Astyanax mexicanus: one gene and its partners. The protein of the gene in region 1 purifies or fractionates together with the protein of each later gene. This does not show direct contact. Links are inferred from orthologs where the notes say so. Each region holds a gene or a part of one and is shown in the gene's direction. Other genes may lie near its edges.

Evidence for each region.
Region 2: the proteins of derl2 (region 1) and faf2 purify together in Homo sapiens (affinity purification with mass spectrometry; 5 studies listed by BioGRID and IntAct, counting the BioPlex papers as one, with this or other methods). This does not show direct contact. The link is inferred for Astyanax mexicanus from reciprocal best matches to the Homo sapiens genes DERL2 and FAF2.
Region 3: the proteins of derl2 (region 1) and selenos purify together in Homo sapiens (affinity purification with western blotting; 3 studies listed by BioGRID and IntAct, with this or other methods). This does not show direct contact. The link is inferred for Astyanax mexicanus from reciprocal best matches to the Homo sapiens genes DERL2 and SELENOS.
Region 4: the proteins of derl2 (region 1) and os9 purify together in Homo sapiens (affinity purification with western blotting; 3 studies listed by BioGRID, with this or other methods). This does not show direct contact. The link is inferred for Astyanax mexicanus from reciprocal best matches to the Homo sapiens genes DERL2 and OS9.

What each region holds. Positions count from the first base shown.
Region 1 is NC_064408.1:27,636,201-27,643,469, forward strand, and holds the start of derl2 (derlin-2), read left to right. Parts: upstream 1-4,261; 5' UTR 4,262-4,360; coding exon 4,361-4,453; intron 4,454-6,978; coding exon 6,979-7,044; intron 7,045-7,132; coding exon 7,133-7,206; intron 7,207-7,269.
Region 2 is NC_064426.1:2,400,440-2,408,150, reverse strand, and holds the start of faf2 (FAS-associated factor 2), read left to right. Parts: upstream 1-4,706; 5' UTR 4,707-4,753; coding exon 4,754-4,816; intron 4,817-6,636; coding exon 6,637-6,705; intron 6,706-6,811; coding exon 6,812-6,946; intron 6,947-7,041; coding exon 7,042-7,118; intron 7,119-7,653; coding exon 7,654-7,711. Other genes in the region: higd2a (HIG1 domain family member 2A, mitochondrial), read right to left, coding at 1,132-1,298, 3,376-3,562. UniProt on the Homo sapiens protein: Plays an important role in endoplasmic reticulum-associated degradation (ERAD) that mediates ubiquitin-dependent degradation of misfolded endoplasmic reticulum proteins.
Region 3 is NC_064423.1:9,663,533-9,670,934, forward strand, and holds the start of selenos (selenoprotein S), read left to right. Parts: upstream 1-4,397; 5' UTR 4,398-4,582; coding exon 4,583-4,688; intron 4,689-5,916; coding exon 5,917-6,045; intron 6,046-7,283; coding exon 7,284-7,390; intron 7,391-7,402. Other genes in the region: snrpa1 (U2 small nuclear ribonucleoprotein A'), read left to right, coding at 117-192, 299-392, 2,080-2,246. UniProt on the Homo sapiens protein: Involved in the degradation process of misfolded endoplasmic reticulum (ER) luminal proteins. Participates in the transfer of misfolded proteins from the ER to the cytosol, where they are destroyed by the proteasome in a ubiquitin-dependent manner.
Region 4 is NC_064412.1:17,475,658-17,482,723, forward strand, and holds the start of os9 (protein OS-9), read left to right. Parts: upstream 1-4,063; 5' UTR 4,064-4,107; coding exon 4,108-4,257; intron 4,258-5,785; coding exon 5,786-5,962; intron 5,963-6,071; coding exon 6,072-6,135; intron 6,136-6,383; coding exon 6,384-6,460; intron 6,461-6,549; coding exon 6,550-6,648; intron 6,649-6,788; coding exon 6,789-6,990; intron 6,991-7,066. UniProt on the Homo sapiens protein: Lectin component of the HRD1 complex, which functions in endoplasmic reticulum (ER) quality control and ER-associated degradation (ERAD).

The sequences.
Region 1 (7,269 bases):
CATGATCTAAAGAGTACTAGTCTTCTACTTTAAGGAAATTTTGGGATTTGCCTGGCCCGAGCTGATTTTAGACTGCACAATTAATTGGCAAAATGGCAGCACAAAAAAAAATATTATTTAAAGCTGTATTCCAGTATGATTTTGGACTTTTTTTTCAGACCAAATACACATCAGATGAAGAGTTCTGGTATTCTCAAAATCAATGCTTTATATTCATTATTTCTGTGCAAAATGGCTTTCAAGTCATGTTGCCAATTCATTTTAAAGGATAAAATCAGCTCGAGCCAGGCTAATTCCAAGTTTTCCTTAAAGTAGAAGACTAGTTCTCTTCAGATCATGTGTATTTGTTCTGGCCCAAGATTAAAAAATTCTTCAAACTTGTACTGGAACAGTGGCTTTTTTGTGCAAAATGGCTTGTTATACCATGTTGCCAGTTCATTTTAAAGTATAAAATCAGCTCGGGCCAGGCTAATTCCAGGTTTACCTTAAAGTAGAAGACTACTACTCTTCAGATCATGTGTATTTGGCCTGGCCCAAGATGAAAAAGTCCTTAAAAATCACACTGGAACATCAGCTTTACATAAAAAATTGTGCTTTATGGATCAGTATTCCATGTTGCCAGTTCATTTTAAAGTATAAAATCAGCTTGGGCCAGGCTATTTCCAGGTTTTCCTTAAAGTAGAAGACTAGTTCTCTTCAGATCATGTGTATTTGGCCTGGCCCAAGATGAAAAAGTCCTTCAAAATCACACTGGAACATCAGCTTTACATAAAAAATTGTGCTTTATGGATCGGTATTCCATGTTGCCAGTTCATTTTAAAGTATAAAATCAGCTTGGGCCAGGCTAATTCCAGGCTTTCCTTAAAGAAGAAGACTAGTACTCTTCAGATCATGTGTATTTGGCCTGGCCCAAGATGAAAAAGTCCTTCAAAATCACACTGGAACATAAGCTTTATATTCAATTTCTTTGTGCATTATGGATCGTTATTCCATGTTGCCAGTTCATTTTAAAGTATAAAATCAGCTCGGGCCAGGCTAATTCCAGGTTTTCCTTAAAGTAGAAGACTAGTACTCTTCAGATCATGTGTATTTGGTCTGGCCCAAGATTAAAAAGTCCTTCAAAATCACACTAGAACATCAGCTTTACATTAAAAAAAAATGTGCATTATGGATTGGTATGCTATGTTGCCAGTTCATTTTAAAGTATAAAATCAGCTCGGGCCAGGCTAATTCCAGGTTTTCCTTAAAGTAGAAGACTAGTTCTCTTCAGATCATGTGTATTTGTTCTGGCCCAAGATTAAAAAGTCCTTCAAAATCACACTAGAACATCAGCTTTATATTCAATTTCTTTGTGCATTATGGATCGTTATTCCATGTTGCCAGTTCATTTTAAAGTATAAAATCAGCTCGGGCCAGGCTAATTCCAGGTTTTCCTTAAAGAAGAAGACTAGTACTCTTCAGATCATGTGTATTTGGTCTGGCCCAAGATTAAAAAGTCCTTCAAAATCACACTAGAACATCAGCTTTAAATTAAACTTTTTTGTGCCTTATGGATCGGTATGCCATGTTGCCAGTTAATTTTAAAGTATAAAATCAGCTTGGGCCAGGCTAATTCCAGGTTTTTCTTAAAGTAGAAGACTAGTTCTCTTCAGATCATGTGTATTTGTTCTGGCCCAAGATTAAAAAGTCCTTCAAAATCACACTAGAACATCAGCTTTACATAAAAACAATTGTGCATTATGGATCGGTATTCCATGTTGCCAGTTCATTTTAAAGTATAAAATCAGCTTGGGCCAGGCTATTTCCAGGTTTTCCTTAAAGTAGAAGACTAGTACTCTTTAGATCATGTGTATTTGGTCTGGCCCAAGATTAAAAAGTCCTTCAAAATCACACTAGAACATCAGCTTTATATTCAATTTCTTTGTGCATTATGGATCGTTATTACATGTTGCCAGTTCATTTTAAAGTATAAAATCAGCTTGGGCCAGGCTAATTCCAGGTTTTTCTTAAATTAGAAGACTAGTACTCTTCAGATCATGTGTATTTGGTCTGGCCCAAGATTAAAAAGTCCTTCAAAATCACACTAGAACATCAGCTTTAAATTAAACTTTTTTGTGCCTTATGGATCGGTATACCATGTTGCCAGTTAATTTTAAAGTATAAAATCAGCTTGGGCCAGGCTAATTCCAGGTTTTCCTTAAAGTAGAAGACTAGTACTCTTCAGATGATGTGTATTTGGTCTGGCCCAAGATGAAAAAGTCCTTCAAAATCACACTGGAACATCAGCTTTACATAAAAAAATTGTCCTTTATGGATCGGTATTCCATGTTGCCAGTTCATTTTAAAGTATAAAATCAGCTTGGGCCAAGCTATTTCCAGGTTTTCCTTAAAGTAGAAGACTAGTACTCTTTAGATCATGTGTATTTGGTCTGGCCCAAGATTAAAAAGTCCTTCAAAATCACACTAGAACATCAGCTTTTTATTCAATTTTTTTGTGCATTATGGATCGGTAGGCCATGTTGCCAGTTAATTTTAAAGTATAAAATCAGCTTGTGCCAGGCTAATTCCAGGGTTTCCTTAAAGTAGAAGACTAGTACTCTTCAGATCATGTGTATTTGGTCTGGCCCAAGATGAAAAAGTCCTTCAAAATCACACTGGAACATCAGCTTTACATAAAAAAATTGTGCTTTATGGATCGGTATTCCATGTTGCCAGTTCATTTTAAAGTATAAAATCAGCTTGGGCCAGGCTAATTCCAGGTTTTCCTTAAAGAAGAAGACTAGTACTCTTCAGATCATGTGTATTTGTTCTGGCCCAACATGAAAAAGTTCTTCAAAATCACACTTGAACATCTGCCTCATATTTTTTGAGCGCAATGGCTTTTAAAATATAATTTTATTAAATATATATTTAATTATTTATTGTAATATATAATTATAAATTCAGTAATTAAAATAAATATTTAACAATATACAAAATTATATTTAATAATATATTGTATATTTACATTGTTAATAAACAGATGTACTGCTTTTCTTCATTCTATCTCCTTCAGTGTTGATCTGTGAGGTGTTTAATATAAACAGCGGGTGTTTGTGAACGCTCCCTTTAGTTCACGGTGGTTCAGTGAAGCGGCAGCTGCGAATATCAAACCAACTTCAGCCGGGGAATACGAGGCTGCGAATATCGAGCCAAACGAATCTGGAGCTGCGAATATCAAACCAACTTCAGCCTCGTAGATCTCACTGTGTGGCTCTTAATAAAGTTATAGAACTTCCTCTGATATTAAAGCATTAAACCGCACAGACATGAGCTAGAACAACAGCTATGGATAACAGCTAGTTTACTATTAGGAGAAATACTAGATAGTAAATTCTAAGTACTGTGTATTATTTATATGAGGAAATTATATTATGACAAAATGATTCAATAATAATTTTCAAACCTACTTGGCCCACGTAATATTTAAATGATAGTATTTATTAATATAAATATACAGCTCTGGAAAAAAGAGCACTTCATTTTCAGAAGCAGTTTATCTGATTTTGCTATTTATAGGTATATGTTTGGGTAAAATTAACATTGGTGTTTTATTTTATAAACTACGGACAACATTTCTCCCAAATTCCAAATAGAAGTATTGTCATTTATTGAGCATTTATTTGCAGAAAATATGAAATGGCCGAAATAACAAAACAGATGCAGAGCTTTCAGACCTCAAATAATACAACAAAAAGAAGATTAAATTCATAAAGCTTTAAAAGTTCAGAAATCAATATTTGGTGGAATATTTCTGTTTTTTTAATCACAGTTTTCATGCATCATGGCATGTTCTCCTCCACCAGTCTTACACACTGCGTTTGGATAACGTTATGCCAGTCCTGGGGCAAGAATTAAAGCAGTTCAGTTTGGTTTGATGGTTGTGATCATCCCTCTTCCTCTTGATTATATTCCAGAAGTTTTTAATTTGTTAAAATCAAAGAAACTGATCATTTTAAATTGTCTCTTATTTTTTTCCAGAGCTGTATTTTCGCACCTGCCCTTTACACAGCCACATCGCCCACCACTGTACTGTATCAGTACACAGTTTATTCTAAACATGCACTGATATTTGAATATAAAAACCCCGTAATAACACATTTTCATACTTTAAGGTGTACGCGGACCAATAGCAGAGGGCCATATTCCGGGTTTTACCCGGGCGAATCAGAATTTGACACTTACAGGTTTAGCTAGGCGGTGCTGTCTACTGACTATGGGTGTATGTGTATGAGTGTATGTGTGTGATGCTCTTTTGCGCCGCTGTGTGTAAGGACGTGTCGCCACAGAGCCGGAAGCCTTACTAGAGTCGGTCCAAAAAATGGCTTACCAGACATTCCAGCAGGAGTATTTACAGATCCCGGTGGTGACGAGGACATACACGACCGCCTGTGTGCTCACCACGGCCGCGGTGGTGAGTAGAACCTCAGCCCCAGCCATATTCCTCTCATTTACCTCAGGTTTCCTGCGGCTTTAGCTGTGCTAGCTGTAGGTTAGCTAACGCTGGCTAGGCTAGCGAGAGGAGGGGGGTTAGCCCGTGTATCAGCGGTTAGCTGAGTTAGCCTCCTGTAGTTTAGCTGGGTTAGCTAACGCTGGCTAAGCAGCAGGAGCGTGTCAGTGTCAGCGGACTGGAGAAACCCAGTCCGTGTGTTTATGTAGTTACACTATTGAGTTTTAGTTAAATTGGTAATAATCTTTACCCGGAGCTCTGCTCTGGATTAGCCAACTGTTCCCCTTCACACAACGATAGGAAACGAGAGCAGTCAGTGTGAGTGTATATTAGTGTTTAGCTAGTTAGCTACAACTACAACTGCCACAGAAAAAAACAGACAGCAGTTTGTGGATGATTCTAGACTTCAGCAAGGACATCACAGCTGAGTGTGAGTGATTTTACCTAGGAGAGAGGGAGATTACCCGATTTTAAAGGGCTATTACCTGTCAACAACTACTGAAGACTTTAATTACATCAGAAATTACATTTAACGTTAATTTACTTAACGTACTTACACTTGTAGCTAGCCAAGCATCTTTCCAAATCAGTTGAAGTTTCCCAAAATTAGTATTTTCTGTACTACTCCACTAGCTAGTTATATACTTGAGGAAATTAGGCAACATTTTAATTAGTTACCTAGGTTAGCTAAACTTAAGTAAAACATTTAACTTTCTCTTTCTCTCACCTCTAACTTGTGAGCTTCAACGTGGTCCAATAAGAACTGAGCTTGATGTACAGTATAAAGTTCCTGTTTGGCTGGCAAACTGTATATATTGCTCAGTATTTTTATATTAAATGTAATTGTGTTGTTTATATGGAGTTTGGGCTGCTTTACACAGATTGTATGTGTTTACATTGACTATTTTTTACTTTGTCATTCAGATAAAGCGAATAAGACAGACATGACAGCTGTTTTAAAATATTTAAAACTTTTTGTATGTTTTAAAGTGAGGATTACCTGTCAAACTATCGGAGACTTTAGTTTTAAAGGGGCTAATACCTGTCAAAAACTACTGAAGACTTTAATTACATCAGAAATTACATTTAACGTTAACTTGGTTAACTCGTAGCTAGCCAAGCATCTTTCCAAATCAGTTGAAGTTTCCCAAAATTGGTATATTCTGTACTACTCCACTAGCTAGTTATATACCTGAGGAAATTAGGCAACATTTTAATTAGTTACCTAGGTTAGCTAAACTTAAGTAAAAACATTTAACTTTCTCTTTCTCTCACCTCTAACTTGTGAGCTTCAAAGTGGTCCAATAAGGGTAGAACTGAGCTTGATATACAGTATAAAGTTCCTATTTGGCAGGCAAACTGTATAACAGTATATATTGCTCAGTATTTTGTATATTAAATGTAATTTTATTGTTTATTTTGAGTTTGGGCTGCTTTACACAGATTGTATGTGTTTACATTGACTAGTTTTACTTCATCATTCAGATAAAGAAAATAAAACAGACATGACAGCTGTTTTAATGACATTTGTTAGGTTACGCTAGCTAGCTAACCATCTACATGTAATCAGATGCAAGTCAAATGGATTTGTACCTTTCTAAGTGTCTCCAAATGATTTGCTTGTTTTCTACTCAACTACATACATGAGGGAGGTTTTTCTTAGTTAGCTAGCTCGGTTACACTTAAGTAATAACATTTACCTTCTATGTTTTAAGAAACATTGACTTTATGTTTTCATGAATACAAGTTAAATGGGTTTTTACCAATTACAAATCATTTGGAGTGTCCCCAAATAGTTATTTAGTGTTCTTAGACTAGCTTATATACGTGGGGAAAGCTAGCTATCCAGCTATCTAGCTTAGTTTAGCTACATTTAATTAATAACCTTAATTTATTTTCCTCTCCCCTCTTACATCAGCTGGAGCTTTAGCATTTTTAATACTAACCAAAGTAATGAGACAGCTGCTGTAAGTGATTTAGAGGTTTTTCGATAGGTTTTAAAGTGAGGATTATCCATCAAAACTACTGGAGACCTTAGTAAGATCGCATATGACATTGAGAGTTATACTTACTCAATTATAATTAATGGATTATTTTTTTACTATTATTTTTTTATTTATATTGGGTTACTCCAAATAATGTGTTTGTTATTTTAGTTTTTTTATTCAAAAAGTAAAAAACTCTTAACACTGCAACATAAAATAACTCCATAACATTTGTTTCATTTTATGAAAAGATACATTTGCTTTGAGGTCAGACATTTTTATTAGGAAATACTGATAATTTGATTTAAAAAGAAAAGAACTGAGCCATATATAAATATCTGACCAATACATTTTCAGTACATGTCAGTTAGGCACTTTATGATTATGATTGTTATATGAACACAATTCTATTGCTAAGGCTACTGTACACAGAACTGATTGTTTACTAGATTTACTAGAGAAGAATGCCTGACTTTTCTGTTGCACATTTTGTCTTCCCAACAGCAATTAGAACTTATTACACCTTTCCAGCTATACTTCAACCCAGATTTAATATTAAAGCACTACCAGGTGAGTGTGTTTCTATATCCAAAGATGTTATTTTGCTTGTAGATGTTAAATAACAAAACTGAATCTATATCTTCTTTATTCTTTGCAGGTATGGCGGCTTGTGACCAACTTTCTCTTTTTTGGTCCAGTTGGCTTCAATTTCTTATTCAATATGATATTTTTGTATCCTTCCAACAATGGCCTAGTCAAATAAATGCATTTGCATTAATTTATTCTCTCAACATT
Region 2 (7,711 bases), on another chromosome or scaffold:
TTCTTGTAAAAGAAAAGTGCGTTTAAGTTGATTTTTTTTAAGTATACTTAACATAAAAAAGTACATACTTTTAGCATTAGAATTAAAACATACTTAAAATAAACACATACTTAATGTAATATTTTGTATCAATTTACAGCAACATAAGTATATTTCAGTTGTAATTAAGCTATATTTAAATACAACACAAAAGCTTTTAAGTGCTTTTTTCTTCTGCAAATGTAAGTAGATTTTAGTATGTGTTTTTCTTAATCATTTTTAATACACTTGACGTATTATACACTGCTAAATGTACTACTTTGTGTATTGATGCACATGTACACCTTACACTGACACTGAAAAAAATACACTAGCAAATTGCTTAAATATGCATTTTATGGAAATACAGAGAAAGAGTATTTAATGTGTTTTTTTTTTAATATATGAAATAAAAAATGTACTTTTAGTATTTTTACCTATACTTCCTTTTCATAATGGACATTTCTGAGCTTAAACCTATTTAATACTTAAAGGACTATTAAATATTATATGTTACATAGTAACTCATAACATGATCAGGATGCATCATCAGATATTAGGGAAATATGCTGAGTTTAATCACTGGCAGCTCTTGTCAGCAGTTTCTGACAGTATATATAGTAGTGTGCGAATCTGCCCAGGGCCATTTCCACACCACAGGCTGCCAGGTATAGAACACAACAGCAGGTAAACAGTGTATAACTTATTAACTCATATTTTAAGCAGATTTTTTTGTTGGTTCTTCAGTTTAAATACCACACAAAACACCAGTTAGGCCTTAAATCTCTTTAATATACATTAACTCTTTGACTCAGAGGTACAAATATATGTAAAGGAAGAGGAAAATAAAAAAAAATCCTACTGTCAGTAGGAAATAAAGGAAGGATGTCTTCACACCTTTTTACTGTGTCCACAGAGACGTTCCTCAAGATGTCCCATTGGATGAGACACCTTCAATTCCAGTCCTAGAGTAGCACACGGGGTCCGATTCTCTCTAAACAGATCTCTAAATGCTTCAACAGAACAAAACATCAACATTAAATCTAAAACCAGTCTGGATCAGGTAAGGCTCTTTAATAGGGAGTTGTGGCTGGTTGTGGTGCTTCTCGTCTCTCACTGTTTGGATTTCAGTGCTGTAGCTGCCACGCCCACTATAATGGCAATGACGGTGAACCCCTGGGCGAAGATACGCGTCCGCATGAGCATCTGAGACTGGTGGGTTTTGCCGTGTTTAAAGGCCCGAAGGCCGTACGTCAGAGCTCCTGCCGTCCCCAAACAACCTGCAGAGAAACAGACAGGAAAACACATTAATGCATTAATTGATCCACTTAGAGATTACGGAGTAGCATTTAATTATTTCAAGATTTTAAATGATTTAATAGATATTTTAAACGATTATTTTAAATATTTTAATATGACTTAGATTACGCAGCATCACACAGTTCTGGGAAAGAAAAAGAGATCTTGTAAGGCTCTGCCAAAGTTACTCAGTGCATTTATAGATAATATAACAAATAACATGTAATGAAAGTGTCTTATCTGTATCGCAGTGTGAACAACAAGAAACAGCCAGAATATCTGGGCAAAGCAAACCCAGTCTGAACAGATAAATCAGAATAAATACCAATAAATAAAATGGATTACGTTAGTAAGTGAGGAGTTCAGTTGTTGCATAATAGGTAACAGATCTCTTACATATTTGCACAGATGACTCCGTTTAACTAAATTAGAAGCCACATATCACAACCACTCTCTGTTTAACTCTGTGTTTAAGGAAGATTAAAATCATATAGGCATATAAAAAAACATCAATTAATGTGTCTTTTTTTTATACAGTGAACTCAAACGCATTAGACCAACCTTAAGTATGGAGCAAGTAGGTTTATGTTTATCTGCTGTGTTTTATGTTGCATTTGCACATATGTATCAACAATGGGCATAAAGTTATTAAGTATATAATTATAAGTATAAAGGCTGAATACATTCAGTATAAAGAGGTTTTGTTACATGTCCACCTTTAAAGGCCTGTTCTGGATTCTTGTACAATTATACAAGTCCAAGATAATTATTTGATTATTTAAACAGTCATTTCCTGTTCCTGACCAGGTTTATTTTTGCAAGGAATCCCAGCTGGACTTTGAGGGACCCTGATACTCATCTCAGAACCCCCTCGAGTCCAAAAGGAGCAAAGGTTTAGGACAAACTGTTCGGATCCTGTTAGTGTTCACGGTCCCACATCCTTCCAGACCCACTGCTGGGGAACTTACTTGAGGAATTACTACTCACAAAAATCTAATTTAGTGTTTTTCTTTTTACTTAGTCTGCTTTAATTTCTTTAATTTAGCACTGCACACATACGTCCTCTGTACACTTGGAGAGCATCAGCAGGAGATGAAAGACAATAAAGTCAGGCAGAACATTCAGATCTGAGTTTGTACAAAGTGCTAATTCCACCAGCAGCAAAACAGCTTCAAAGCATGATGCTACCACCACCACACTTAACAGCAAGTACAGTACAGTAAAATAGACCTTGTTTGGTCCAAAGGTTCCAAAATAAACTAAATGACCAGGTGGTTTCCATCCATATTGAGTGAACCATGAATAATTTCCTTTTTTCACAGTGAAAACTCTGTTTGGGTGTTTTTTTTTTTTTTATTATTCTTTTAAAATGTTCTGAATCTAAACTATGAAGAAAAACTAAATTAAATTATTTAGTAAACAAAAAAAAAGTTAAATGTTTTATATTTTAGATCATTTAAAGTAGCACATCTTGCTTAGATCTGCTTTAGACATTTTTGCACATTTTATTTATTTTTATTTATTTATTACCAGTACAAAATAAGTACAATAACAAATGTAAAGAGACTATCTTGTAGTAGAAGTTAAACAGTACAATTTAAATTGGATGATCTTTAAAAGCTTTTAGACGTCCTTAGAAGTGAAAGCTGGCTTTGTATTGGACTCAGAGCACACAGAGTGTCCACAAACATCTATTGTCCTCCTTTATTGAGTTCTGGAGGCTCAGCTGCGGATCAGAGCTGGAACTATAGGCAGGTTCCAGCAGGTCAGATGTTCTACAGGCTGCTGATATAACCTATGTTAGATACTGTTGTTCTAGATATGCAGCAGCAGAACTAATGTTACATGTTAGAGGTCATGAAGGTGTTTACCAGCTATATAAAGCCAATAAAAAGCACAGAAAGTTATTAAACACTGAGAATAACTGAGTTTAGATCTATAGATGATTATAAACACACAGCAGCAGTAGTAATAATAATAATATCTATAATCCGGCAGTAATATAATACTAATAACAGCGCTGTTACAGAGCTTGTGTAACAGTGTAGGGTATCTCACCGATAGGGACGAACGGGTTCTCCTTGGTTTTGCGGAGAAACTTCTCCTTAAAGCTCTCCTCTTTCTGCCGGGGCAGCGGGGTGAAGCCCTCTATGACCGGCGGGCTGCCCGGGTTAAAGGCTGCGGCTCCGGGCAGCGCTGTCCGCCCAGCCCGCTCCTCCTGTACCGCGCTAGAAGCGACCGCCATACTCAGTCCGGCTACTGCCTCTACTGCTGAGCTCCGTACTCACACCCATACACACACTGCACTGCACCGCCCCTACAGGCCTCCTCCTGCTACTGCAGCTACTGCCTCTACTGCTGCTGCTTTAAAAATAGATAGATAGATAGATAGATAGATAGATAGATAGATAGATAGATAGATAGATAGATAGATAGATAGATAGATAGATAGATAGATAGATAGATAGATAGATAGATAGATAGATAGATAGATAGATAGATAGATAGATAGATAGATAGATAGATAGATAGATAGATAGATAGATAGATAGATAGATAGACAAAAAATAAATTATGTTTTATAGATACATTTCTTTGACCTGTTATTTTATTATAGTGACTGCAACAAGGATATTTGTTTTTTTTTATCAATCTGCTTATCTTACTGGGTAAAATCCATAAAATGAAATTCAGAAAATAAAATCCTACCTATGCCTTATTTAAAGAAGACTTCTATTCCTACATATATTCAACTCAATATATGCAATGTAAAAGAATCTGCCAAATTAATGAATATATTGAGACAATTACATCTTGTTTAAAAATATAAATTGCTTCCTCATACCAATCTGTTACACCGTCTTGTTTTTTTGTACTTTACTTTATATGTATATAAAGATAAATAGATAAAAAATTCTGTTGTCACTGAATTGAAGTTTTTCCTTAAAAAAAAGTTATAATCTGTTTTGAAAACCTTTCTGTAACTTTTCAATGAGAAATAACTGTTTGTAACTGTATTCTCTGGAAATTCTTAATATAAAAAAAGAACATTTTAAATATACGTAATACATAAATATAATTATACATAAATATATAATTCTATATTCACGATTTTTTTGTGCTGTTTCAATATACACAAAGGAAATAAACATGTGTAATTTTAATTTCAATTTCCAGAAAATGTGAAACACTGTATATCAGTGGTCCGCTGCATTCATATTTACACATACATATCAACAAATATTTTTCTCACTTTGATCAAATTAACTCTTTAAAAAATGAATGAAAGAAACAGAGCTCTTAGGCTTCTTTTCTGTCCACGTCACACACAAACAAGGCCCTCGCGTCGCACCTCAACGTGATCACGTCGCACTTCAACGTCATCACGTCGCATTTAAGCGTCGGCACGTCGCGGTGGGGGGACTGGCGAGGTAAGATGGCGGCGCCAGAGGAGCAGGAATTATCTCAGGCTCAGACTGAGAAACTCCTCCAGTTCCAGGTACAGTTCGCTCTGCTCCCGCTCACCCACACCACTCACACCCGCCGCCCTGCGGTCTGTCCGGCATACGGGCTCAGAGCCGCCGCGGAGCTCCGAGCCCCGGTTTCGCCGCTTTAATACAACGATAGGAACAGAACAGTTAGCATCAGGCTAGGCTAAATTAAGCTAAGCTAATAGCTAGGTTAGGCTAAGCTAAGCTATCGGCCGCTCCGGGGCTGTAGCGCGGAGGCTCTCCTCGCGCTGCTGCTGCGCCTCAGCGGTTAGCAACACTGCTAACTATTCTACCCTCAGAACCAGCGCAGCCTGAGCCGATTAATGATCGATTATTATCGATAATATCGTTCAGATAGAGCGCGTGAGGAGCGCATGGGTTAGCCAGGAGCTGCCGGAGCATCAGCAGCTGTCAGTTTCCATCAACTTAGTTGGCTGAAACTTGCTGTTAGCCGGTTACTCAGCATTCAGGAGCCGTTGCTGAACCTGTAGCTCCCCTGAGTCTAATTTGGTCTAAAGGAATAAACCCGAATTAAGTAGTTCAGCCAGTTTAAATTCAGTAGTTTTAGTAGATTCAGTAGTTCTAAATGTTTAATCTCGCTGTTCACTTAACCTGACCTAACTCTGGTCCAGAATTAGCCCTAATTAACTAGTTAACTAATTCACCAGCCCTAATTATTAACTACAGTTCACATTAGGGCTGGGCGATATGGCAGAAATCTTGTTTATATCATGATATACTTTTTTAAATCGTTGGTACGATACAATTACATTATGTTGATATCAACATGCTCCGTCTTTATCTTTGGTGTTGTAATAACACACTGGTGAGAGCTGGGAGATACAGTTAAAATAGTATATCACAATATTTAAAGATGTTTTCATGATACACTTGGGTTGTAAGAAATATATCGAGAAATGTTGAGGTTGAGTGAAAACCTCTGGAATAATATATGATAAAAAAATAACAATATAATAATATAATCAAGAGGAAGATGGATGATCACAAGCCATCAAAGCAACCTGAACTGCTTAAATTTGTGCACCAGGAGTAAAGGCATAAAGTTATCCACCAAAAGCAGTGTGTAAGACTGGTGGAGGAGAACATGATGCCAAGACTTTATTAACCAGTTAAAAAATATGGCCTTAAAATGTCCTGTGTTACAGTAGTAATAGTAGTAGAAGGGGTACTACTACTACTAGGTACTAGGATGAAGAAGCTTCTAATCTTTTGTCTTTTATATTTAGTTTGTTAGTAAAAAGTTCATATTTAATTTCAGGTTATATTGGTACATTCATCGTGACATTCAAAAAAATCAAATTGTGAAATAACTTTAGTTAGATTGACACAGAAATGAAAGTGAAAATGTTCCTAGGTGGCTCATGATGATTTATATATGAGGGCTGGGCAAAATGGCCATTTTGATATAATAGTTAAGAATATAAAGGCTACAGAAAAAATGCCAATAACACTCTCAACAAATGTTTGTACCTACAAAAGGCTAAAAATGAATTTGCCAGTTCATGTAATGCATCCTGAATTCAGTGCCAGGTCAGGTAAATTGTAAATTTATGTATACTCAAATAGTGGAGAGTCATATTGGCGTTATTAAAGCATTTTCTATTACAATATTGTATCAATATGTATGTTGATATTGAATTATTGATGTTTTACAGGTTGCAGTGTAGATTCAATCACTACTGTACTAAATAGATTTTTATTAAAGGCAAAACAGATGGGTGTCATTCTTAAAACATACCTCATATGTACAGTATGTCCTAATATGCTGTTAAATAATGCAAAATCTATTATTTTTAATCCCGTACAGGACCTGACGGGCCTGGAGTCGATGGACCAATGTCGCCGCACATTAGAACAGCACAATTGGAACATTGAGGTGAGCGCTGACGGGGGAGATCAATGATTCCTTTCAGAGAGATGTTGGAGAGAGCTTTTGGCAGCTGGAGCTGCATTGTTGTGATGAGAATGCTGCTGTTTTACAGGCCGCCGTACAAGACAGACTAAACGAGCAGGAAGGAGTTCCCAGTGTCTTTAACCCGCCGCCCGCCAGACCCCTACAGGTTAACACAGCAGATCACAGAGTCTATAGCTATATCGTCTCCAGGCCACAGCCTAGAGTAAGTGCTTCATCTGTACCCTGTTACTGACGCTTACGTTTGTAAATACTATTTGTTTCGTGTCCTCATTCCTTTCTTACCTCTTTATTTTACAGGGATTATTAGGTTGGAGTTACTATTTGATAATGCTCCCCTTCAGGTTTACGTATTACACACTTCTGGACATATTCAGGTAACACTTTTCTGCTTTTACAACCTTTAATTAATTCATTATAGTTTTATTCTTTTTTTGTTTGAGTGCATTAAGGGTGTAATACTTTCCACAAACGATAAAAGCCCACGTCTGCAAGAACAAAGCAGACGTATGTAGTCTAGTATGAAGATGATCTGTGCAGAGACTCCAGCCAAAGTCCAACTTAAGCTTCCTTAATATATTTACGTTGTTCTATGTGTAAAATACATTCATTTTCAATAGGCATATATGCACCTGAAACACTACAGTACAGCCTAACGCATCCCAAATTATATTTTCAACATAAACATTTTAATAAAACATTATAGTCGTTATGGCTTTTAGAAAAATGTGCACTATAGGTCTCTGTGATATGCCCTAAACTTAACTAGTACTTTTACACTTATACTTGAGTAGAAAGCTTGAGTGGACCAAACAAGACAGGATTGTTTTTGTGCCTCATTGCAACCCTATAATGTGCAATATGTGTTCTATTTCTTAAAAGATCTAACAAGTTCTTTGTTATTTTCTTCAGGTTTGCCCTGAGATTCATTAGGCCGGATCCTCGGGGTCGTGTCACAGATCCTGTTGGA
Region 3 (7,402 bases), on another chromosome or scaffold:
GATAAGATACACAAGATACTACACTCTGATTGGTGGAACAGTGGTTAAAAGGCTGAAGGAGCGGATATGCTGGGGACAGTCTTGTAACAGAACGTTTGCTGAATGTGTGTGTTCAGGTTCACTCCTGGTGCTGGAATACAGGCTGACCGGAAGAAGACTGGACCTTCTGCGGCGGATGTGGAAGCTATTAAGGCACTGACATGTTTAAGCTCATATTACTGTGTGTGGATGATACAGTGCTCAGTTTATGTGGTGCTCAGTTTTGTATTTTTGGTAATGACCGTCCCTTTCCCCACAGAATGCCATCGCAAACGCCACATCACTGGCTGAGGTGGAGAGGTTAAAGGGATTGCTCCAGGCTGGTCAGATCCCCGGCAGAGAAAACAGACAAGGTATTGAACCGACTGACTGATTACTGCCTCTCTGTACATGTAGCTTTACAATTTATCAATCTACATTTACATTAGAGTGTAAAAAATCCTGATTTAATTAAATGATGTGAAACACACATTGAATAAGAATGATTGAGCATTTTAATAGCAGAATAGCAATATCTGTCACTGCTGATGCATTTTGTCTGTGTCAAAGTATGATAAATACTGTGTATTAGGGGTGTCACGATTTTTATATTACATCAAAATTGATTGAAATTATGTCATAGTCTCGAGCCTCGAAGTCAAAAAGAGGATCGACGATCCCTCCCTCTAAGCTACGCAAGAACATGCTCTGCGCAAATGGCGCAGCACACTGTAGCCGACGCCACGGACATTGTGACTGCTGAAAGAGCAGCCCTTTCTCCAGAGAATGTGGACATTCTCAACTTCTTAAAGAAAAACTTGAAAATATAAAAATAACAGTTGTTTTGTCTTATTTTTTGTTTAAGTGTTATAGTAGGATAGAGTTCAGTTTGTTACGGCTCTAATTGTTCTATTATTTTGTACGTGACTGTTCCTGTATTTTTTATTCTTTATTTTGTTATGTTGCACATTGCTGTTTTAATAGTGCACACTGCTGCTACCAAAAAGCCACTAGATGGCATTACATATATATCTTAAATTATTTAAATTTGGCTATTAATGCCCAATGTGGTGTATTACAGACCACTTGTATCACTTTGCATCACTTATATCAAGCCCACCTTTTGAAATAAGATATTGTAAATTTGATGAATCAAACCAATGACTGACCATAGACTAATCTAAAACTGGCATAGGCCTCTCTGCTGTAAAAAAAAGAAAATCGAGAATCGAATCGTGACACTAAAATAAGAAATAAAATCAAATTGAGGATTTAGAGAATTGTGACACCCCTACTGTGTATCGTAAAAATGTCATTTTTACCATTTCACCCAGCTGTATCAGTGGTGGCTTTTATACTGATTTAGTAATTAAAAAGTCTAAACTAAATAAAAAAAAGAAAAAAAAAAGAAAAGTCAAACGGGTGCTGGATGTTAATCTGCACAGATTTCTCTCCTTAAAACTGTTTATTTAGGTGAGTAAAGCGCTTCCGTTTTTTACAGTGGGCATAAAATTCCAGTACTTTGTTAAAGGGTGAGCGCTAGCCACGGTTAGCAGTGCTAGCCAGCCCAGGTTAGCAGCATAATTGTGATAAACTATATATTTTTTGATATGTTGATATGATATTAGAAAGTGCGTCTGTCTGAAACGTGTGATCTTTCCTCTCCAAATATGAACTTTGCTATAATGAATTGCGCCGAGCGATGCGGGGGGGGGATGTGAACTCTGTTAATGCTTGGGTACAGTTCAGTTAATGCTTGGGTGCAGTTCGGTACTGCTTGAGATGATCTCGAGCCTGGTCCCCCCCCCCCCCCCCCCCCCCAGGGCTGAGGTGCAAAAATTAAATTGAGGGAGGTGACAGGGTGGAGGTGGGCGTGAGTTTGTTCGTCACGGAGGTGAGTTGTGACTTGGAGGTATATATAGGGCGAAGGGGTGGAGCTTGTAATTGAGGCGCACTCCATATCCCAAAATTTTGTTAATCCTTAACAACACTTATTTTAAGGGCATTCTAGTCAGACTGTACCACTCTCTCATCTTTATCTTTTTCTGTTTTTTCCTCCAGGTGCACAGAGCATGGTGGAAGAGGAGGAAGAGGAGAGTGAAGGGGGGATGCAGGAGTCGATGTACGAGGCTGAGCGTGGAGATGGAATGGAGGGAGATGAGGAGCAGGGCGAGAATCAGGAAGGAGAGATGGAGATGGAAGAAGATATGCATGTTAATGGATCGTAGTTGATTTAGTGTGGATGACTGATCAGAGTCAGCGGCCCTGTTGAGTTAGTAAAGTCTAGTTTTGAGTCAGGAGGCTGGAGTGTTTATGTATGATGGGTATTTCTTTTATTTGGCCATCTTTTTTGTAAATTAAGCACATTAAAGATTTTTTTTTATAAAATTGTCATTTTCTTGTTTACATGACCACATTGAACTAATTTGCTAATTCTAGAACACAAATTACTGTAAACTTAGTGTGATTTGTTTAATTTTTTCTCGTTATAAGCCCAAATTATCATTATGCATACCCTGATACGTTCAGTTTTTAGTACAAGATACATTGTTCTTTTTTAATTACTATTTTTTGTTGTTTTTTTACCTAAAATTTATAATGGGATTTTATAATTAAATTCCAGGTCAGTGTCCGAATTGTAAATAAACTGAAGTTGACTAAACTCGAACTCTCCAAGTTAAGTGTTTTGACAGTAAAACAGCAAAATTTAATAATGTATGTTTTTTTGGGTTCTAAAATGTATTGCTGACTGGAAAACTGAGTGTATTCTTGTTGTTACATTAGTAATATTCAGTTTATTTTGTTTTTTCTGGATGCCTTCTTCCAATCAATGCATTTTTTGCTGTCAGAATAGAACTGAAACACTTGTCACCATGCTTGATGCCTGGCTTGGACCAGAGGGAGTATAGAGCTCCCAGTATGAAGCTGTGAAGCAGTGCAACTCTCGAGAGAGACTGAGTTCCAGCTCCATCCAGGACTTTTGGGATAAGTCAAGGATGAGGTGGGATGGGGCTCATCCAAAAAAAAAAATGTCCTCATTAACTTGTAAAAATCTAGTACAAAAGATTTGATAGACAATGTAGAGAAAGTTTGTCTTAAATTTCAATTATATATGATTTTTTTTTATATCATTGTACATTTTTATGTTATTTAATGTGTTCTAATTACTGCTACTGTGTGCTCGTGGGTTCTTGAGCTGATGTTGAAGTACAGTTGCATCTCAGAAAATTAGGATATCATTGGAAAGTTACTTTATTTCAGTAATTCAGTTCAAAATGTGAAACTCATATAATATATAGATGTGTTACACACAGAGTGATCTATTTAAGTCTTTATTACTTATACTGTTGATGATTATGGCTTACAGCCAATGAAAACCCAAAAATCAGTGTCTCTGAAAATTAATTAAAAGAATATTATATAAGATCAATTGGTACTTCTGGCAGTGTGGCAAATCCTGCTGAAAAATGAAATCTGCAGATTTTGCCGGAAACACTGCGTTCACTTTGGATTTAATAAAACAGTGGATCAACACCAGCAGATGACATGTCTCTTCAAACCATCACTGATTGGTGGAAACTTCACACTAGACCTCGAGCAGTTTGGACTGTGTCTCTCCACTCTTCCTCCAGACTCTGCTCCCTTGATTTACAAATGAAATGCAACATTTACTGAAATTTAAGGACGTTCTGGAGAGACATGTCATCTGCTGGTGTTGCTGCACTGTGTTACATGCTTTCCTCTGCTGACAACTTTTAAAGAGATGCAGATTTCAGCAGGACTTCACACACATTTTTGGGTTTTCATTAGCTGTAATCCATAACCATCCACAATAAAAAATAAACACTTAATATAGATCGCACGGTGTGTAATACATCTACATAATAATTGCGTTTCACAATTGCGTTTCACAACTGAATTACTAAATAAAATAACTTTTTTATAATATTCTAATATTTTGAGATGCACCTGTAACATCCAGACCATATTTTAAAGGGTTTTCTTCAAATCTAAAAGCTTTGAAATATGTCCGCACTACGGAAATATGTAAAATAGTTAAAGAAATGTGTTGAGAAATTTAGTACTTTCAAATATTTATTATAAACTCTTGATTTTGCTTTAGTGCACCATATGAACCTATTTATTTTAGACTCACATTTGTATGTAACACACAGAAAATGACAAAAATAAAAAATAAAATTAGTGTTTAGAAGCACATTTTGATGACTAGCACAACTCGACAGAACACCGGCTCTGCTACGGCGTTTCTTTACTGTATCCTGATTGGGTCTGTAAACGCCTATTTTCATAATATTTTCCGGACAACAGCCAATGAGATCGATGTATTTGTACTAGCCCCGCCCCTTCACCGCTCACCGTCCACGTCATCCTTGAGTTTAGGAGGAAATCTGATGTGGCTAACTGAGGTAGCTTTAGCTCAGCGGGCAGTTCGCTGATGGTGAAGCCGCGAAGCTGCGCTCATAGCCGCCGTTTAATCAGCGGTACTGTAGAATTAATGGAATAAAACCTCCGGCGGTCTTAATTCAGTTTGTGTCGGTGAGAAATGGAGGCGGAGAGCGGCGCTGCTAATGTCAGAGCGGCGGCAGCGGGAGGAGGAGGAGGGCAGGAGAGCCTGGAGAACCAGGACCTGAGTTTCCTCCTGACCACTGGTAGGAAAACACCAGCTAAGAGATTTAATTAAAACAGATATAAAATATTAATAATGTGTTTATATTCTGTTCAACGCTTTTACTGACAGAAAGAGTTCTCTAGATAAGAGCTGCTGACCTGTTGGCCTGTTTGTTTACTAGTTAGCATTTAGCTAGCCTAGCTGACTCACTGTGTTCACTAGTTAAACACAGAGCTGGAGCTGTGAGAGTTCAGCCCCTCTGACTGTCTGTCCTGTTTTTACACCTTAAATGTATTACAGTTAAATATAAAGGCTTTTTAACCCTTTCAGGCCTTGCGACCCTCAAACAGTGGACTGCACATTAATTTAAAAGATGTTTTGTTGCACATTACACTAATTGAGACATATTGTTCATTTGAATAGACCATCAACCAGCCAATAAAAAAGTTAAAAAGACAATTAAACAGGAGCTTAGCCCCACCCACTTCACTGAAAAAATATAAAATCAACCCTTAACTCAGACATTATGGCATGACAGCACTAGAGTCAACGAAGCAAAGAAAGAGATAATTCTTTACTACTTTTTGTGATTTAAAACAGCTTTTTTTATATCATGATTATATATTTTAGGCTTTTTATATAAAAAAAATGAAAAGTTATATCAATATCAAATTAAACAAGTTAAGCACAGGCCTCCAATTCAAATGACATTAAATAGGGCAATTGAATATTTAGTTCTTTAGATTTAATTTTTACATACAGTTTATAAAGGGCAGCTTTTGTGTTCATCACAGGCAGAAATAGCATTCTTATATTTTTCCACAACTTGATCATAATTCAGGTCTAAAAGGGTTTCCCTTAGTATGCAAGAAACAATATTTACAACAAAGTAGAATAATACAATAAAATAGAAATATACAGATAACTTTACAGTATACACAAGAAAAATACACATAATAACTTTTGTTGTATTCATATAGACTTATGTTATTGAACGGATATACATTGCATATAAGCGAATATATAAATATACAATACGGGTTCTGGTCCTCAAGCTATTAGTGGAAGGTGGAAAACAGCCTAGCTCCTACTGATATTTGGTTGCTAACTCTCGTTGTCTACTTTAAAACTGAAACTGAGACTGGTGTCAGACATTTTTGGCTCTGAAACCTATAATCTCAGCTCACCTCTGAGGAACCAATGTCTTAAACATCTGTGTGTGCGTCTTATATTAACTTATTTACTGACCTGATTCTTCCTGCTCCCAGTTTCCTCGCTTTTCTCTGAGTATGGATGGTATCTGCTGCTCCTCAGTGGGGGGGTGTATCTCCTCATTCAGCACCTCAATAAGAAAAGGTCTATTCAGGATCGCAGCTCAGCCTCCACATCCAGCTCAGGTCAGTATCTAGCTACGTGAATACTCAGTTTTAGTGTAACCAGTATTTCTTTTATATCCTCTTTTTAATCTCTTTAACGATGTCTTTGACTATTTCATTTCTAACTTTATCCCATTTTCTTCGTAATTTGAACGGCCAGTTACCCCACCACTCATTAGAACTCAAATTACTAGTAATGTGCCCAACAGTAGGAGTGTGAAGACTAGCGAGTAACACACGACTAGCACAGCAGCTAACAGGCACCTGTGTTGACCAACATCACCTTGGGGAGTGATGTGTGGAGAGAGCGTTACTGCCCACCCAAAGAGTGCAAGGCCACTTGTGCTCTCTCTGACTCTGGCTGCTGATGTCGAGCAGCATGATCCAGGACTTAAATTCATCATAGTTTCCGCATCTCCGTCACTCAGAGCCATCAATTCCATTGTCATTTGAAATAGCATTAATACAGCATTAACGTTAACTGCTATAGCGCAATAAACAAAATATATATATTTTTTTCAAATGGATTTTCTTCTGTTTGATGTTCCGTACATTTTCATACTCATATGGGCTTTCTTCTTAAACTTAGAAATAACTTTGCAACTGGTTTTGAAACTTTTTCTTCCAGGAAAATGGTCTATGAGCTGTCCTGATGTTACACTCTAATTACTTACCTCTACCCCATTCAGTGTATAGCTAAGAATCATACACACTCTGTGTCAGTATTGGACAACTATGCTGAAATCTTGGCAGTACATTCAATTTAATAAAACTAATTCTTGAAAGCCAATTGAAATAAAACAAATCTGGCTCCACCCCTTTAAGAACTTGCAAAATTAAAAAAAAAATGTAGTCAAAGAAAATAAACGTAGGCTGCTCATAGTTAAATATAGAAATTTCTGTTTTATTTACGTTTAGCTTATACACAAACAAATGACCAAAGTGCCTGGAGCTGCTTTATTCATTCAGATGTGGAATTTTATGGAATTACCCAGATAAATCAAAATATCATTGGCATAGCAAGCAATTTTATGTCCTGCATCTTTGCAGTAGTAGCTGTATTTTTTTGTGTGTCCAACACTACTAAATACAATGCAAAACATAATGAGGACCGTGCACAACCCTGTCTAGTAATCTTTCTCCAAAGAATTAGCCCTTTTTCTTATGGACACATTGGTTATGTGAATGAGCTTGTGAACAAACACAGAGAAAACTCTGTGTAACACAGTGTAAGCAAGCTGATTTGTTTTATTCTCTAGATCCTGTGTCCGTGGTGAGACGCCAGGAGGCTTTGGAGGCGTCACGACAAAGAATGCAAGCAGAGCTTGATGCCAAAGCTGCAGAGTTTAAAGAAAAACAGCAGAGAGTGAGTATTAAT
Region 4 (7,066 bases), on another chromosome or scaffold:
AGAGATACGTGACGAGTTAGGGGTAAGTGAACTGGTGGGAGGGAATGTGTGTGATTTGGTGCGTGATACGGTAGAGGGTCCGCTGGATGCGTGGTTGAGTGTAGATCCGATAGAGGAGATGCTGGAGCGCAGTTGTGAGTCCCCAACAACTCCGTTTGCGCGATCTGATCGGCCGTTTTCGCACGAGTTTCGCTGTGTCTGAGCGCGAGTGTACTAAAACTAGCCTTGCGGTGCATTCGATAAACACGGGTGACGCCCAGCCCATCAGGCTGAGGCCGCACCGTCTGGCGTTAGCAAAGCGTAGCGGCGGAGCAGTTAGTCCGCGAGATGGCGAGTACAGGCATTATTGAGCCTTCGAGCAGCCCGTGGTCGGCCCCAGTGGTCCTTGCGAAAAAGAAGGATGGAAACTGGCGCTTTTGCGTGGATTATCGGCGACTTAACGCTGTCACGAAGCTTGACTCCTACCAGCTCCCCAGGATCGACGATACGCTGGACCAGCTGTCTGGCTCAGCCTGGTTCAGCTCGTTAGACCTGAGGAGCGGATATTGGCAGGTACTCCTCGCGGCGGGGGATAGGGAGAAAACCGCTTTCTCGCTCGGCTCAGCCCTATGGCATTTCACGGTGCTTCCGTTCGGATTGTGTAACTCGCCGGCTACTTTTGAGCGTCTTATGGAGCGTGTTTTATGCGGGGTTCGCGGTCGTGCTGCGTCGTTTATTTGGATGATGTCTTGGCGCACGGAACCGACTTCGACTCCGCACTGTCTCACCTTGAAATGGTGGTCAGCGCGATTCAGGCGGCTAACCTGAAGCTCAATCCGGCAAAGTGTAATCTGCTAAGGCAGCGTGTGAGCTTCCTGGGCCACGTAATGAGCGGTGCTGGCGTGGAAACCGATCCCAAAAAGATGGAGGCGGTCCGTGACTGGCCCACGCCGCGAGACGCTAAAATGGTTCGCAGCTTCGTGGGGCTCGCCTCGTATTACAGGCGGTTTATTAGGGGGTTCGTGGACGTGGCAGCGCCGCTTCATGCTCTGACTAAGCCTAGTGTGAAATTCCGCTGGTCTGACGAGGCGGAGCGGGCATTCGAGGAGCTAAAAAGCCGCCTGTGCAATGCTCCGATTCTAGCGTATCCGAAGGTGTCTGAGAGTTTCATTGTGGATACTGATGTCAGCGACCACGGCCTCGGAGCAGTCCTGTCGCAGGTTCAGTGCGAACATCACACTGTCGTGGGGGGAGGTGGTGCCTCTGGGCCCGATTGCTAAGGCGTTGCGCTCCAACTGGGCTAGTTTTAGTTTGTCCGACGGCGTGCTGTGCCATATCTGGGAGGATCCGGCGAACGGGCAGCGCCGGTAGTGCTGCTGGCCTGTCGCTCCGCTGTGCAGGAGACGACGGGATTCACGCCGGCTCTGCTTATGTTCGGGCGCGAACTGAGGACGCCGGTCTCCCTGGCTTTTGGGGCGCCTCCTGACGGGGGCGGGTACGCTTCGGACACGCCCACTTTTGTCTCGGACCTTATGTCTTCGCTGGAATTAGCACACCGTCTAGCGCGCTCCAACCAGTCTGCTGCCGGACAGAAGCAGAGGCGTGCGTACGACACACGCTGCTTTGGGGACCTGTTGGCGGTGGGGGCGAGGGTTTGGCTATATAACCCTCAGCGGAAGAAGGGACTGTGCCCGAAGCTCCAGTCGGCCTGGGTGGGTCCGTGCTTGGTGCTGTCCAGGCTGGGGGAGGTGGTGTATAAGATCCGGTGGGGCAGACGCACTATGATTGTGCACCGTGATAGGCTGGCCCCCTATAGGCCGAGACTGTCAGACACTGTGGTGCGGAGCCTGCCGGCCTTGCACTCGTGCCTGACCTGAACTCTGGCTCTTCGGAGCCGCTGGCAGGTGGTGCCGTGCCCGGCCCCTCCAGGCTGCCGCGGGCACGGAGGCCGCCCGCCCGCCTTAAAGGTCACCTTCCGCGAAAATCCGATTTTTCTTGTTTTTTGTGGAATACAGTAGGTCTCTCCGAGTTGAATGTGTACACCTGCACATTAAACTGTTTTGCAGCCCCCATTGTCTGCAGGAGCTAAGCAAAGAAATCCCCCCTCCCCCCCTCCGAAAAACGGGTGAATTTTGAATTATCTTTCTGCCTACGTAGGCAGAAACTCACAGACCAGCCCACCTTGGCTCGAGAAACTCCCAGAGGCGGAGCTGAAGCGACGCAACATCACCGCTCATCAGTTAGGAGGTGGGAGGCAGTGAGCGGCAGAGCGGTGGAGGGGCGTCGCAGTGCTCCTAGCCAATCAGAGGAGAGATATTTGCAATGCTGTTTGCATGTATGAATATTCATGAGCAAAGCTGGAATCCGGTCATTTTGGACACACCCCTAAAACAGTCCATTAAAAAAGAGCTATACAGAGACACCTGAGCACTTTTTTTTTTACAAAAACGGCTCACATGTCATTCATTCATACTAGAGACCACAACTAGACATTTTAAAATGAAAGAAAAAACGACGGAAGGTGAGCTTTAATGACTTTGTTTGCAACTGATTGTAAAAAAAAAAAGTTCTGTTGTACACGGGGTTTGTGTTGGGTTGGTGGGGTCGCCGGGACGGCTGACCCTTGGGAGGGGGGCTATGTGGCGGCTCTGGGTTGTGTGTGTGGCTGCCTGCAGGTATGTTTCTGTTCTCCTGTGTGCGAGGATGACAGGGGTGGGGCATCTCCCTTAGGAGGGGTTATGCAGAGAGGGTGGGCACCACTCTGGATCTGCCATCTGGGAGACACACAGCTGGGTTGGTGGCCTTTGGGCTATTAGAGTTCTGTGGGTGAATGGTTTTACCTCTCCTAGTCTTGTTAAAGACTGTAAGTGAGTGGCAAGCCTGTTTAATAAAAGAGCTTATGAGCATTCATCATGAGTCTCACGGGTCTTCCTTCCTCTTCCACGCCACAATATGTTTGTGTAAAATTAACATTATTGTTTTATTCTATAAACTACAGACATTTCTCCCAAATTCCAAATAAAAAATATTGTCATTTAGAGCGTTTATTCGTAGAAAATGAGAAATGGCTAAAATAACAAAAAAAAAAACTCCAGAACTTAAATAATGCAAAGAAAACACGTTCATAATCATAACGTTTTAAAAGATCAGAAATCAATATTTGGTGGAATAACCCTGGTTTTTAGTAACAGTTTTCATACATCTTGACATGTTCTCCTCCACCAGTCTTGTACACTGCTTTTGGACAACCTTATGCCACTCCTTGGTTTGAAAAGCTGAAACTCCAACCAATTTTTTGAAATGGCCAAATCAGAACATCTCTAATAAAGAGGTTAAAACCTCGTGAGAATCTATTAAAGTTTTGTTTAAACACCAGATGGCGCTCCCGATTGAGTCGAAAATGAATGGGTTAATATGGTGCAAAAGATAAAAATTGAAGTTTTAAAATGTTAAATACTTTTCATACTGAAAAATGTACTAATTTCCTTAACCAACAACATCAATATATAATGTTTCAGTACGGAAGATATAATTTTTAAAGCTTTTAAACTCCAGTTATAAGTCTTGTAATCATGCTCTGACACCAACCAGTCAGCTCCCAGTAGCACTAATGCTAGCGCATGTGTTGCCTTAAATCCATTTACTGAAGAAAACTAAAATGCATAGATTAGTTATCTTAGATTTTTTAACAACATACATCATTTTATTTTTCAAAACAGAAAGAATATCCTGGACAAGTTTATAGCTATTATTTTTAATTTGAGGTTTTATTCGTTTAGCTCAATTCACCCCCATTCATTTTGGACTCACTCGATGGCTCCCTCTATCGGTTGCAGTGATTTTCTAATATAACGGCGGGGATAGTAAATGGGTAGTACGCTCTCCATAGACACCGGCTCTGTAACTAAATTATCGGTCCAATAAATACCCTTGTCGTGGCTATGGAATAACCTGTTTAACTTGTTATCCAATGAGAACACACTGCTGGCTTGACTGACGTTTTCTCTACCCAATCGCGTAGGGAGGTTCTTCGACGTTGTCCAATCCGCGTGCTGTTTCGCACACGTCCGTTGTCTTACAACAAATAACAAGTGAACTGACAACGCCAGTTTGGGATGTGAGGGAAACATGGCTGCTTCCTTGGTTAGGTGTTTGAGGGGGCTGTATGTTTTGTTTTTGATATGTCTCCTTTTCGCCTCTGCTTTCCTGAATTTAGAGGAATTAAATGAAATGAAATATGGCATCCAGATTCTGCCAGACCCGGTTATCATGGGCCAGGTAAGTCTGCAGGCTGAGGTAGTTAGCTAAGCTAGTTAGCTAGCATTAGCCTGGTTCGTTAGCTTTACAACGTTATTTTGATAAGACAGCAACAGTCTTAGCACCAAAAACAACGACTCGCTGACCAGCTAACGCTACCTTGTCTATCTGGAAGAGCCTGTAGGTGCTAAATATTTACTGTCGTTATAAATTTCACTCTTATTCTTCATCTAAATTATCTTGGCTAAATATAACGGTTAGCTAGGCTATCCTCTTTATGTGTTATTAGTTAGTCTTGTCTGACAGCTGCTAGGTAATTTATATATCGTGTCACAGTGCTGTTAACCAGGCATGTTTTGGCTTATACGAGCTTTCTGCTTGTTGTGTGGCATAAAAGAGAAATTGCATCTCCATCATATGTGGCTTAGTTTGGGAAATTGTATTCACCTGTCCTCTGTAGCACTAACTGTTTATTTGTTTGCTATGTTAGTTAACTACGGTTTAGATCGAGTAGTTGTGTGGTTATGTTAAATCTACAGCTCTGGAAAAAAATGAGTACCACTTAAAAATTATTCTTTATTAAAAATTATTCTGAGTTTCTTTGATTTTACCAAACCAAGGAAGATGGATGATCACAAGCTGTCAATCCAAGCTGAACTGCTTTAATTTTTTGCACCAGGAGTGGCATAAAGTTATCCAAAAGCAGTGTTTAAGACTGGTGAAGGAGAACATGCCAAGATGCATGAAAACAACTGTGATTAAAAGCCAGGGTTATTCCACCAAATATTGATTTCTAAACCTTTATGAATATGAACTTGTTTTGTTGCATCTTTTTTGTGATTTTAGCCATTTCTCATTTTTTGCAAATAAATGCTCTAAATAACAATGTGTGTGTTTTTTTTTTTGGGGGGGGGGGGGGGATTTTGGAAGAAATGTTGTTCGTAGTTTATAGAAAAAAAGCTATATTCATTTTACTCAAACATACTTATAAATAGCAAAATTACAGACACTGATTCAGAAACTGAAGTGTTATTGAGAGTTATTGAGTTATAGCTTCCTGACAGTACGCCGGCACTACTAAAAACTGTCAGGGAGCTAGCTGACAGTACGCCGGCACTGCTAAAAACTGTCAAGGGGCTAGCTGACAGTACGCCGGCAGTATTAAAAACTGTCAGGTAGCTTCCTGACACTATGCCGGCAGTTTTAAAAACTGTCAGGGAGCTAGCTGACAGTATGCCGTAGTAGTAATACTGTCAGGAAGCTCCCTGACAGTTTTTAATACTGCCGGCGTACTGTCAGCTAGCCCCCTAACACTGCCGCCCGTCTCCCGGCAGGCAAAGATCCAACCCCAACTGGTGTTATTTGAATATATATATATGTATATATATATATATATACATATATATATATATATATATATATGTATATATATATATATATAAGATGTATATATTACTAATTAACAGACTGTAGAATACCTATTTCCTAATAATTTGTGCTTTTGTGTTCAAATGTCACTTATCTTGCCCTGTCATTATTTCTCTGCCAGGTGGAGGATGTAATGTTGGTCTCCAACAAGTACAAGCAGCTGTATGAGTGTCGCTTACCTGCCCAGGCAGTCCGCTTCCACCAGGATCCTGTACCAGAGGCTGACTCTCAGGGCTACAGTGGACCGGGGATCACTGAGCTCCTGAAGCCCATGCAGACTGCTCCCTGCCTTGTCAAGGTTTTAGCCTAAACTCTTTATGTGCACAGTCTAACAAAAACTGTTTTGTAATAAAAAAAGTCTGAAAAAAAGTTTTTTTGAGATTGTTTTTAATATGTTCTCCACACAGACCAAAGACTGGTGGACCTATGAGTTCTGTTATGGCCAGCACATTCGACAGTATCATTTGGAAGGTGGAGTATATAATCTTTAACATATAGTGTGTACAAACAAACACACACGCACAATGTCACTCTCTTTCTCTTTCATTCTCTCTTTTACCTTTTGTTACATATTATTTTTCTATATTGTTTAGCATTACATTGCAAACAGCACTACACATTTGTCATTATAAAAGGTGTATATATACACACACGCACACCCTTACAGACATGTCTGTTAATTTCACAAAGTATTATTTTTTTATTTGTTATTATTTCAGATTCAGAAATCAAGGGTGATGTCCTCTTCCTGGGTTATTTTGAATCAGAATTTGACTGGACCAATGAAACTGCAAAGGTAAAGCTTAGTTTTTTGTAAAATAGTAAAATTACTCTTTATATCATAAGAGAGAATTTACTATACCTAATTTTCTCTTTATGTTTTAGGCCACTAAACAACACAAGCTGAAGAGATACCACAGCCAGTCTTATATCAATGGTTCCAAGTGTGATCTAAATGGCAGCCCAAGGGAGTCAGAAGTCAGGGTGAGACCTCTTTGCAAAATCATTTAGGAATGATTTAAATAAATGGGCACTCATGATTATGTGAAGTTGCTTCATAAAAATGTGGTTGCTATGGCTGTGATGGAATTTGATTACCTGAAATGTGCCTTTTTCTCTTCTAGTTTGTTTGTGAGGAGAGTTCAAGTGATTTTATTGCTCGTGTGGATGAACCTCAGTCCTGTCGCTATGTTCTCACCATACACACCTCTCGCACGTGTCAACACCCACTCCTGCGCCCACCCTCCTCTGCCAAACCACAGGGCATTGTGTGTCAGCCTGCTCTCAGTGCTCAGCAGTACATGGACTATGTCAAAGCGCAAGTCTGTAAGTGCAGATCTCACAATTCATAATTATTATTATTATTTTTTTTATTTAATCTGTGAATTCATTTTCACCTACC